Linked DNA regions of Saccharomyces cerevisiae S288C. The protein of the gene in region 3 interacts with the protein of the main gene of each other region in a biochemical or structural test. Each region holds a gene or a part of one and is shown on either strand. Other genes may lie near its edges.

What was found.
Region 1: the proteins of CDC48 (region 3) and CUZ1 form a complex in vitro, tested with the Saccharomyces cerevisiae proteins (3 studies listed by BioGRID).
Region 2: the proteins of CDC48 (region 3) and DOA1 form a complex in vitro, tested with the Saccharomyces cerevisiae proteins (4 studies listed by BioGRID, with this or other methods).

What each region holds. Positions count from the first base shown.
Region 1 is NC_001146.8:340,698-343,840, reverse strand, and holds CUZ1 (Cuz1p), read right to left. Parts: upstream 1,326-3,143; coding exon 501-1,325; downstream 1-500. Other genes in the region: serine/threonine protein kinase YCK2, read left to right, coding at 1-205; YNL155C-A (uncharacterized protein), read left to right, coding at 1,706-1,930; NSG2 (Nsg2p), read left to right, coding at 1,873-2,772; IGO1 (phosphatase regulator), read right to left, coding at 2,983-3,143. UniProt on the Saccharomyces cerevisiae protein: Promotes efficient arsenite-induced clearance of stress granules (SGs). May have a role in the ubiquitin-proteasome system (UPS) protecting cells from metalloid-induced proteotoxicity.
Region 2 is NC_001143.9:31,460-35,638, forward strand, and holds DOA1 (Doa1p), read right to left. Parts: upstream 2,649-4,179; coding exon 501-2,648; downstream 1-500. Other genes in the region: YRA2 (Yra2p), read right to left, coding at 1-234; phosphatidylinositol-3-phosphatase SAC1, read left to right, coding at 3,084-4,179. UniProt on the Saccharomyces cerevisiae protein: Ubiquitin-binding protein involved in protein ubiquitination, sorting and degradation. Acts as a ubiquitinated substrate-recruiting adapter for chaperone ATPase CDC48 by binding mono- or polyubiquitin chains.
Region 3 is NC_001136.10:235,497-240,464, forward strand, and holds CDC48 (AAA family ATPase CDC48), read right to left. Parts: upstream 3,169-4,968; coding exon 661-3,168; downstream 1-660. Other genes in the region: cyclin PCL2, read left to right, coding at 1-357; HNT1 (adenosine 5'-monophosphoramidase), read right to left, coding at 3,523-3,902, 4,014-4,110; YDL124W (aldo-keto reductase superfamily protein), read left to right, coding at 4,763-4,968. UniProt on the Saccharomyces cerevisiae protein: ATP-dependent chaperone which probably uses the energy provided by ATP hydrolysis to generate mechanical force to unfold substrate proteins, disassemble protein complexes, and disaggregate protein aggregates.

The sequences.
Region 1 (3,143 bases), on a different chromosome or scaffold from region 3:
ACAAAAATATGCTCAGCAACAACAAAAGCAAATGCAACAGAAATCCAAACAGTTTGCCAATACAGGTGCCAATGGTCAAACTAACAAGTATCCATATAATGCGCAACCAACGGCGAACGACGAACAAAACGCTAAAAACGCAGCGCAAGATAGAAATAGTAACAAATCATCGAAAGGTTTTTTCAGTAAGCTAGGATGCTGTTAGAATAGAAAACGGAGGAGGTTTTTTGTAATCATTCCCACCACCGTCCAGTGATCTTCACATTTTGTTCTAGTATTATGATTTTGATGTACATTTGATATTTTTTTATGTTTTTTATTTAAAAAGTAAGGGCGAAAATGTCTATTATTAAAAAAATATTAAGTACTTTACGTGCTTTTTAATATCGTTTTTTATTGATTATGTATCTTTAATGGGTTATTGATTTTTTTTGTTTTCTTTTTATATAGTATATACGCTTGACGTTCCGCGCGATTGTTTGTTATTTATAGTGTCCTTCTTAATTAGATTTTTCGTCGGCGTTATTGTGTACTAAATACAGAGTATCAAGATCTTTGATCTCATTAGTGACTCTTAAGGAAGCGCCAATATTATAAAATGAAACTTGTTTACCCTCTTTCAATTTGCATAGTTGAAATTTGTCATTAGAACTTGAATTAGTTAGTGTGCTAGATTTCACGTTTAGCTGGATAGACAAATAGTCCATGGCCCTACCCACAGGCCACATTTTGTTAATGTATAATGGCATTCTTGTATCCTCCTTGGCTATATCCGTCTCATCACCATCCACCAAGTAACACCAAATGTAAATCCTATTTTGCATAGGAATCTTGGGGTCACCTTTAGCAATTTTCTTGAGATTAGCCAATTGAATTATCTTATTCGACGAGGAACCGAAATTCTTTTTTGATTTGTTATTGCTCTTTCTTTTCTCATTCCTTTGGAAGAACTTAAATATTTTGTCTAATGTCTTTGAGTTCAAAGTAGAGCTCACTTTGGCAGTGTTAGAACCTCTCAAAGGCTCTCTTGTTTCACTTACTCTCTGGATTCTAACACTGGCCCTCTCAGGTAACAGACTCTTGAAATATGCTTCATCGTTAGAACTTGAGCCATCCCGGCTTTTGCTAGGACTTTTTTCAGTTTTATGAACTTCTTCATGCTCTAGCAACCACCTACAGTGGTGATCTTCCTTAAGTCTATGGTTCGAGCAGAAATCTTCATTGCAAAACGAACAATGGAAAGGTAGGAAGTCTAGTTGTCTACAATATGCACAGTGCTTTCCTACATCCAACATTCCGGTTTCTTTTTCGATAGCCGCCGACATTCTTAAATATAGCAAAAATTAGTTGATGGTCCTTTTTTTTATATCAAAATTAATGCAAGCTCTTGCAGTAGATGTACACTACAATGTGCCTATAGCTCACTGTTGTCACACTTCCGCCCTAGCTCGAGTCCTTGCTTGTACAAGCTCTTATTACATCTTTATACTCATTTGTAGAACATGCTTTTGCCACCGAAAGGAGGGTGAGGCAGTTTTATGTATATACGAACGTCGCTGGCCACGAGGGGGGAACTTTTCTTTTTATCGGCATGAGATAAAGGGTAGATACGAAATTAGCTAGACATTTAAAATATGAAAGCAAGGAAATTACTAAACTTCGAGATGTTCTTTTCCTTAAACTTCTAGTTGACAGCTCAACATTGATGATAGGGCTTATTGTAGTACCTATTTTATTTGCAATAAAGGGCATAGTAGTTGGCGTGCAAAAGGTAAAGAAAAAGTTTGGAAAGCACTCAAACACAAAGGACCAAAAAGAAGACAAGGACGAAGATAAACGACAAAGTATTTCTCAAAGAAAACAGCATACAGAATGGCCAATAGAGGAGAACCGGATCCAAAGAAGAGCACCGAATCAATCTGCTCTCTGACTAAACCGCAGCTTTATTCATTATATGATGATGACGTCGTGAGATCGGAAGATAACGAAATTTACGAAGAATTGAAACGCTCTGTCTCTATAGATTCTACCAAATATAGTAGAGATCAAACTATTGATTCGACTTTTTACTTGGCCCATAAGGTTGGCGGCTCGCTGCCAAGGAACACAGTATCTTCTAATAATTTGGAAAGGATTTTATCAGCATCATCCATTCACGAAAACTTTCCGTCAAGAACCAGACAAACTCGTCAAAATATTCTTCATTACCTGCAAGCTGTATTAATTTTGTCATTGAGCGGTTTCGCATATCATGAACTGTCCAGAAACTTGCACGATAATCATCTCTTACATCCAGATTTTGCATCGAGACCCCTTCTACTGGGTGTCAAACTTTGTAACTGGCTATCCAATGGGGTTCTGCCAAACTGGTTAGGCTACGGTGTTGAAGGACTGTTATTTGGTTCTGTTGTACCAATTCTGGATAATATTTTTCAAACAGAGGTTGTTAAGAGCTCTGTCCACCATGACAGTTTGACCTCTGTTATTAGAAGTATCAATGCCATGTTGGGAGTCACATTTGGGATCAGGAAAATACAGTGGAACTCCTCTTTGCAGGCGGCAGGGGCATGGGGGCTTCTGAATATTATACTGTGGTTGTTTTTTGACGGCTCAATATCCATGTTAATGAGCTGCATCTGCATTGGGGTGGGTTGTTGTATCTCTTGCTACAAAGATATTATCGACGGTTCCCAATTTTTATATTTCATGGATTTTTATTTCCTTGGTTCTCTAATGTTTGGAAAACTAGGAAGATATCTATATTCTCATTAAAGTCGAAATTCTGACGAGTAAATATTATTAATTAGAAGTACAAGAAGATAACATCAGAATGGCTTATCGTTTATATATAACTAATTAACGTAAACACAGTCAGCCATATGGCTGTAACACTTGACATTTCGAGAAATCACATAATAAGCGTTAAATATAAGAGACCCTTCTCTTTCCCTAAAAAAATATAAAAAAGTACAGGTTGTCTATTTATCTAATGGGTGATTCAGTATACAAACTGGACGACGAAGAGCTGTGGTTCCCCACTGGCGTTGAACTTGTACTACCACCTCCAATAGTACCGTTATTAGACGATGGTGGTCCACTCGATATACTTCCCTCCTTTTGTATCAACGTCGCATTATCTACTA
Region 2 (4,179 bases), on a different chromosome or scaffold from region 3:
GTAGTCAGAAACGTCTAGTGGGATTTTGGATATTCTAATTCTCTTAGGCAAAGGAGGCTCTTCCCTCTCTCTATAAAGGCGATCTTTCGACCTTGATGCAGCATCCGAAGGCGCAAATCCCAGTCTAGGTCCTAATTCATTTCTTAAATCCCTTCTGCGGTATCTCGTTACCTTATGATTAGATGAGCTGTCTGTGTGACTATTTCCAATAATTTCGTCAAATGCTTTGTCCATTGCAAAATGCAGTATTGAATCGTCTAATGGAAAAGGTACTAGACGCTTATCGTTTCAGTTTTTTAGTCTTTTCCATCTATTTATCAGTCTGTACTCAAAATAACCTTATTGTATGTAACCTTTTTCATTTCACGATGATAATTTCTTGCCGAGTTAGACAGAAAATGACCGTGATAGTTTGTCATAATTTTCAATAGGGCAGAAAGAATTTTAAAGATTATTTGCTATCTAGACATTATGTGTTTTATATGATTGCTGTAAAAGTATTAGGAGAGATCGTCGAAAATATCCTTAAACCTTGGCACGTTCCCATAGCTCCTTTTGATGTTTGCAAGCCAAGTTACGGAGTTGGCAAATTGTCTTAATGTAGGTTCAACAGTAGCCAAATTTCCGTAAGCTACGGTTAGCCTATATGCGGCTTCTTCGCATTCTTGATACTCTTCCAATGGCCCATACTTGGTGTTGATGGCGTCAGCTACGATAGGCAAAAGTTCTAAATCAGAGTTCCCTTTCGTGACGAGAGCTGAATAGTTGAAAATTAGTGTGGAAACTGCAATAGCCAAATTCTGTGACTGTTTAGCAGATGCCTGAGAAAATTCAGTATCTATAGTCTCAAAAATTGATTTATAAACTTGATTTGATTCCAGTAATTTCACACCCCAGTTTTCATTATTGAAGCAATTTACCAAAATACGCACAGTTAACATGGTTAGAGTGATATTCTTATTGCCCAAGCCTTCTTCGATGTAATCTTTTATATCTGAAGAATAAGGTAATTTTTTTACAATCAATCGTACTATGTCGTATGCAGGAGTCTTAATTTCCCAGTTAGATCTTATAGTGTTAGCAAATGAAAGTAGCAACTCCCAGCTTTCATCTATGTCATGTAGTGCGCCACCAATTTGCGCCAGAATTTCATCATCAAAGGTCTTCTCATTTGAATTTATTTTTACTATTCCATTGAAAATAGTATCTGGGTTATAATTTTCCATGATAAGATACTGCTTGACAGGAAGAACCTTCATTACGCTCGTTTTTGAAGGTGATACTGCAGAAGATGATGCATTATCGTTGGGCTGGTCTAGCGATATGCCATTAGTGTTCTTCAGTATGAACTGTACTACTTGATCCCTATAACTCATTGGCAGTTCATAACGAGCCAAAAAATTGTCGGCTGCTGTATATGGGTTGTCGCTGACATTAATCGGCAATTTCAAGGGAGGTTTTCCATCTTCAATATCCACATCAAATACGTAGTCATACGTTTTACCCTCGAATTCTATTTTTTTGTCGTTTCCAGTAGCACCTGCACCGACAACATCACCAACCTTTTTCCATGAAGAATTTGAAAATTGATGAGCTTCTATAGTACCTTGAGGTGATTTGACTACCACAATTTGACCCTCTTTGCGCCCCGGCGATTGTAAAATTTCATAAGGTGATAGTTTAGACTCATCAAATTCTATTGTCTTGGAACTTATAGTGGATTTTTCCACTTGCGTAGATAGTTCATTTATTTCATCCTCGGAAGCCCATCTTGACTTCTCTTGCGAAAATATTCTCACAAGATTATCACTACTTCCCACAATAATATCACCATTAGACATACAATCAACGGACCAAATAGAGATGGCAGGAAGTGTAATTACCTGCTTTAACGAACCATTTTCCTTTGACCATATACGGACTGTTCGGTCTTCGCCGCAGCTTACAATATCTCCATTGGGCAGCAGTTTAATGCAATAAACAAAGCTTTCATGGCCTTCATATGTTCTTAGTACGTCACCTGTATGCATATCAACCAACTTGATGAGGCCATCGTTTGAACAACTGATAAAATGGCCATCATCCACCACAGCTAAATGTCTTACTACATCATTGTGAATCCCACTGAAAGTTTTGATCACTTTATCGTTTTGCCACAGTTTAATCGTCTTATCGGCGGAAGCTGTCAAGAATTTATTTTCTGAGAAGGATACGACTTTGGCATCCCATACAGAGGCATTGTGTGCTTGCAAATTGTAAACCAACGATCCTTCTTTCCAAACCTTTGCGGTTTTGTCCCAACTACCGCTTATCACAACACCATCTTGGAAGGATAAACTACAAACGTTCCCTTGGTGGCCAATCAAGGTATACAAGGGATCCTCTCCTGAGGTGGCAAACAAGGGCACACCGTTGATCATAGTATCCTTACCTCCAAAAAGCAACAACTCCTTCTCGGAATCATAACACACACTATTTAAAAATCCTTGTCCTGTATAAACTACCGTACCGAGCCATTGGTCATCTTTAGACCACAAGCGAACTGTTCCATCCCTCGAAACACTAGCAACCTTTGAATCATCCACAGCTACCACATCCCTGACGTCCTGATCGTGCCCTTTAAGTGTTGCACTCAATTGATATCCCATACTCCAAATCTGCTGCTCTACACCTTACTATCACACATGAATATATATATATAAAATAAGCCAAGACAGTGGCCTTCCCTTATTATCAGCGTACTAAAATCTCATATGATTTATTTTTCGTGGTCCTGAACGAGTGTGAAAAATTTTGAAAAACTCGCAAAGGAAATGCCAAGGTCAGCAACTTTCTCGACGTCCAAGCCTCGCTCCTATTGTTTTAGTAACCTGTAGACCTTCAATATTCAAGAGCTTGCACACGCACGCATTGCTGCACTACTGCTTACCCACACTACAAATTTAATTCCAGCTTATTGAAGTTGAAAAGGCAAGGGAAAAATACCACAGGTTTAGATAAGGAAATAGGAGAAAGGATTAGAAACCATATCCCTATAACAGTAACGATAATATTTATATACACGTATATTTTCTCGTCTAGATATGACAGGTCCAATAGTGTACGTTCAAAATGCGGACGGTATCTTCTTCAAGCTTGCTGAGGGCAAAGGAACTAACGATGCTGTTATTCACTTGGCCAATCAAGATCAAGGTGTTCGGGTCCTTGGAGCAGAGGAATTTCCTGTGCAAGGTGAAGTAGTAAAGATTGCGTCCTTGATGGGGTTCATTAAGCTAAAGTTGAACAGGTATGCCATTATCGCAAATACTGTGGAAGAGACCGGTAGATTCAATGGCCACGTTTTCTATAGAGTGTTGCAACATTCTATCGTATCTACCAAGTTTAACTCGAGAATCGATTCTGAAGAAGCCGAATATATCAAGCTACTGGAGTTGCATTTGAAAAATTCCACCTTTTATTTTTCATACACATATGATTTAACAAATTCCTTACAAAGAAATGAAAAGGTTGGTCCTGCAGCCTCCTGGAAAACCGCTGATGAACGATTCTTTTGGAACCATTACTTAACTGAAGATTTGAGAAACTTTGCTCATCAAGATCCTAGAATTGACTCCTTTATACAACCTGTTATCTATGGGTATGCCAAGACAGTGGACGCCGTTTTGAATGCCACCCCTATCGTTCTTGGTTTGATTACCAGACGTAGTATATTTAGGGCGGGCACAAGATACTTCCGTCGTGGTGTTGACAAAGACGGTAACGTTGGCAATTTCAATGAAACTGAGCAAATTTTACTCGCTGAGAATCCAGAGAGTGAAAAAATACACGTTTTCTCCTTCTTACAGACAAGAGGATCTGTGCCAATATACTGGGCTGAAATCAACAACTTGAAGTACAAGCCAAATCTTGTTCTTGGAGAAAACTCATTAGATGCGACAAAAAAGCATTTTGACCAGCAAAAGGAGTTATATGGCGACAACTACTTGGTTAACCTAGTCAACCAAAAGGGCCACGAACTACCCGTGAAAGAGGGCTATGAATCAGTCGTGCACGCGCTAAACGATCCGAAGATTCACTACGTGTATTTTGACTTCCACCATGAATGTCGTAAGATGCAATGGCATAGAGTGAAATTGTTAATTGATCACCTGGAGAAATTAGGTTTATCTAACGAAGATT
Region 3 (4,968 bases):
AAAACATCCATTTCCCATTCGCGCTCATCGTCCAATATGTCTATCCCATCTTTAGCTTCCACTTCGACCCTCTCCACGTTGGAATCTAGAAGATCGAATTTATCCAATTATAGTAACAGAATACGAACTTTGCCCGAACTACACGAATCCAATAACATTAGCGACAAGTTTTCTCCGCGAACATACAACATAGACTCCAAACACGATAACAAGGAAAATAGGCCAATACCGACAATTAAGCCTTTTAATTTTAGTAAAGCGCGCCCTGTGATCTTGAAAACTGGGTTAAACAAACAGATAATAAAAGAAGATACAAAAGTAAAGAAATCGAATTGGTCAAATTACTTCAAATCGTGATTTTAAATGTCGAAATTATGCCTGGCCTGCGTTTCTTCATGGCACTTTCGGAAAAGGCGGAAGAACACAGGTAAATGTTCTTACGACCGAGGTCCTACAGCCTCCCTTTTTTCTTATTTTACATATTAATATACATAAATATACCATAATGCATTCTTTTTCTAATGATTTAGCTCTCCTTTTTTTGACAAATTTGAAAATAAATATAAAAAGGGCCATAAAATATTGAGTTAAAATTGACGATTTTTTTTATAGAAATGACTTGAATTTACGATTTAAAATAAAAATATACCTGGCATATAACTAACTATACAAATCATCATCTTCCTCCGCATTAGAACCAAATGCAGCACCTGCTCCACTTGGAGCACTATTATTACTGTTAGCATTGTCCGTAGCCGTAGTACCTAATGGAGCGTCATTAAAGTTGAAATTACTGAATTGACCTCTAGATGCTTTCATTTGCTGTGAGTATGCTTCATAACGACGCAATTCAGCATCTGAAACAGAACGTTTAGCGGTCTTCATAGCTTCTGCGAAATGCTCCTTTGTAATATATGGAACAGGATCTACTTCTGGTTCTTGTTCAGCCTTTGCTCCCTCATCTGTCATTTCCACGTCTTCACCTTCTACTTTCACTTCCTTTTCAGCTTCGTGTTGTCTGTGAGCTTCGATAGAATCCTTGATAGCGTATTTAGCAGCCCTCTGCACAATATAGAGTAAATCAGCACCAGAGAAACCTTGAGTGGCCTTGGCAATCGCAGTTAACTCTAGCCCTGGTTCTAGTGGTGTTTTCCTTAATTGAGCATTTAGAATAGATAATCTAGCGTTTTCATCTGGCAATGGAACATAAATTAATTGATCCAATCTGCCAGGTCTTAAAATAGCAGGATCAATTTGATCTGGCCTATTGGTGGCACCAATCACGAACACATTTTTCTTAGCATTCATACCATCCATTTCTGTTAATAGTTGGTTGACGACTCTATCCGAAGCACCACCAGCATCACCCAAGGAACCACCTCTTGCCTTGGCAATGGAGTCTAATTCATCTAGAAAAACGACGGTTGGTGCAGCTGCTCTTGCCTTATCAAAAATATCACGGATGTTAGATTCCGATTCACCATACCACATACTCAATAATTCTGGACCTTTGACTGAGATAAAGTTGGCAGAAACCTCAGTAGCTACAGCTTTTGCTAACAAAGTTTTACCTGTACCTGGTGGACCGTAGAACAACACACCCTTTGATGGTGATAACCCAAACTTTGTGTATTGGTCTGGATGTAAGACTGGGTATTCTACAGTTTCCTTCAATTCCTCCTTGATTTCATCTAGGCCACCAACGTCATCCCAAGTAACATTGACACTTTCAACAACGGTTTCACGCAATGCAGATGGGTTTGAATTGCCCAATGCGAATCTGAAGTTGTCCATGGTGACTCCTAAAGAATCGAGCACCTCTGCATCAATTTCATCTTCATCTAAATCTATCAAGTCCATTTTTTCACGGATCTGTTGCATGGCAGCTTCAGAACACAAAGAGGCAATATCAGCACCCACGTAACCGTGTGTTTCAGCAGCCAATGCTTCCAAATCAACATCATCAGCCAACTTCATGTTCTTGGTGTGAATACGTAGAACTTCAAGTCTACCTGTAGCATCTGGGATACCAATGTCGACTTCACGATCGAATCTACCAAATCTTCTTAAAGCGGGATCAATCGAATTTGGTCTATTGGTAGCAGCAATGACAACAACATTAGATCTTGCCTTCATACCATCCATTAAAGTTAACAATTGAGAGACAACTCTTCTCTCAACTTCACCATTAGTCTTGTCTCTCTTTGGAGCTATAGAATCGATTTCATCGATAAAAATGATGGCTGGAGCGTTCTTTTCGGCTTCTTCAAAGGCCTTTCTTAAGTTAGACTCTGATTCACCAGCCATTTTTGACATGACTTCTGGACCATTAATTAAGAAAAAAAAGGCACCGGTCTCATTAGCAACAGCTCTTGCCATCAAGGTTTTACCAGTACCAGGGGGACCATACATCAAAACACCTCTTGGTGGCTTGATACCGATAGCCTTGAACAACTGAGGATGTCTCAATGGTAGTTCAACCATTTCCCTAATTTGAGCCATTTGCTTACGACAACCACCAATATCATCGTAACCCACCTCATTCATATTATTTTCTTCATCTTCCCTGTTGATTGGCTCACCTTCCCAGTGAATAATAGTATCCTGAGCAACGACGGCATATTCTTCAGGTTCGACATCCACAACCTTGAATTCGACTTGTCTCATACCGCCTCTGACAACAAAATGGTCGCCTTTCCTCACTGGTCTGTAGGCTTCCACAAAATAAGGCTTCAAAAAAACATCGAAAAGATTACCAGTTATACCTTCGATCGTATCAGCAATTGGTAACACAGAAATTCTAGTAGCGTATTTGATATCGGGGCAAGGATGAATTGTAACTAAATCACCCAGCCTAATACGTAAATTGTTACGAACTACACGGTTTATCCTGCATGCTCCGTCTTCTAATTCGTCATCGATCAACACAATTAAGACAGTATCTTTTCTCTTCTTGCCCTTAACGAGAACGGTGTCACCACGGAACAATTCCAATTTGTCCATGGTGTTAGAATTAATAGCAATGACAGAATTGTCATCATTGATAGCATCGTCCACCAAAAGCATGTTGTCCTTCTTCTTTCTTCTTAAAATGGCGGTGGCGGTTTTATCCTCCTCACGAGGGTCGACACCCGAGGCGTCCAAAAGTGGTTTATGTTCTTCACCCATGATTTGTATATCTGTCTTGTAGTTGAGCCAGTTATCGAGTCAATGGCGTTGAGTCAAATCTTAATAGAACTAGATTAATTGACTACATCAACTGCGGATCTCTTAAATACACGGCCCTGATATATGTCCTTTTTTGCCACCGAATTCACATTCGAGGGGTTGCCGGGTAGTGCGCAAAAGGCGGTAGGTTAAAAAGGAAGGAGTTAGAGCTGTTCATAAGGTATCGATAGCAACGATGGCTAGTAACATGATTGTTAGCATTATAGAGTGGATATGAATGGAAGCAAACACACCCATATGTATAAACTTAAATATGAAAAGAAAACGCTAAAAGAAATCATAGCATGCATTACTCTAATCGGAGCCTTCTAGTTTGGCAAGCAATTCCTTGTGTAGCTTGCCCAACTTATCGAAGTCCGTTTCTTGGGCTGGCCACCCTACAATCAAACCACTTTTCTCATCTCTCTTAGGAATCAAATGGAAGTGGACGTGGTCGACTTCTTGATGCGCAATTTTACCATTATTCTGCAACACATTATAAGTGTCCAACTTCATTGCCTTGGCCAGTCTCTTGGCAATCGGCATAGCATCGGTAAGGAATTCGTCCGGGATGTCATGCAACTTCGCACCATGGTACTTAGGAATGATTAAAGCATGACCTTCAGCAGTAGGTTGGATGTCCAAGAAAGCATACGAGTACTTTGTTTCAATCAATTTGAAGGATGGAATTTCGCCTGTTGCATAGCGGATCGATTGTTAGTATTCTGCTTTATGTATATGTACTACATAGAGACTATCGCCATCATTGGTGTGAGTGTAAGCTCTTTATTAGTAATGTGACATACTTTTAATAATCTTGCAAAAAATACAGGCAGCATCAAGCGTAGCAGGAGCAGACATTTTTGTTGTTGTTAGGTACGGTGCCGATATCAATGGCTCCATCAATGTTTCTTAAAAGTCTGGAAGGCGTGCTGATTGTCCTTTTACTTCATAATGTTCTCCGCTTTCCAGTCGAACACACATCACATTACACGATCGTACAGCAATGCTTCAGTAGGGCGGTAACTTCTTCAGAAGAGAACGGACCCGCCATTATTTCTGCAAGGAATATTCTGTAACGATTCGCACCATATCTTAAAGCTTCTCAAGCTTACTGTTTTATGTGACCTCCTTTTGTACTTTTCAAGTTCTGTAGACAAGTGTCAATTCAACCTTTGAGGCTACGTGGCCAACAAGGTCTTGCGCGATTTACCGGTGTTTCCTTTGCGCCCCCTGCTCATGCCATCAAAACGGCACGCTGTTTTGTAGAAGCCTCCATGCGTCTCCTATTTGGGTCCTTGCAAAATAGTCTAACGAAAGCGCGGAGAATTAACCGGAAAAAGGAAGTTGCCACACTCCCCTTACTAATCCACACCTAGGATCTCCTTTACTCGTATTTTGAATATCTACGAAAACACTCACATACGCTCATCCCATATATATATATATATATATACGGATATATTGATAGTCGGATACTACGTGGATATGGATACACATGTAAACGGTTGTGTTACCCTAAAGAAACGGAGGTCAGTTAACAACACTTTTACAGATGTCATTTCACCAACAGTTCTTTACCTTGAATAATGGAAATAAAATCCCCGCAATCGCCATCATTGGGACAGGTACTAGATGGTATAAAAACGAAGAAACGGATGCTACCTTTTCGAACAGTTTGGTCGAACAGATTGTTTATGCTCTGAAGTTACCTGGCATTATTCACATTGATGCTGCTGAGATCTACAGAACATATCCAGA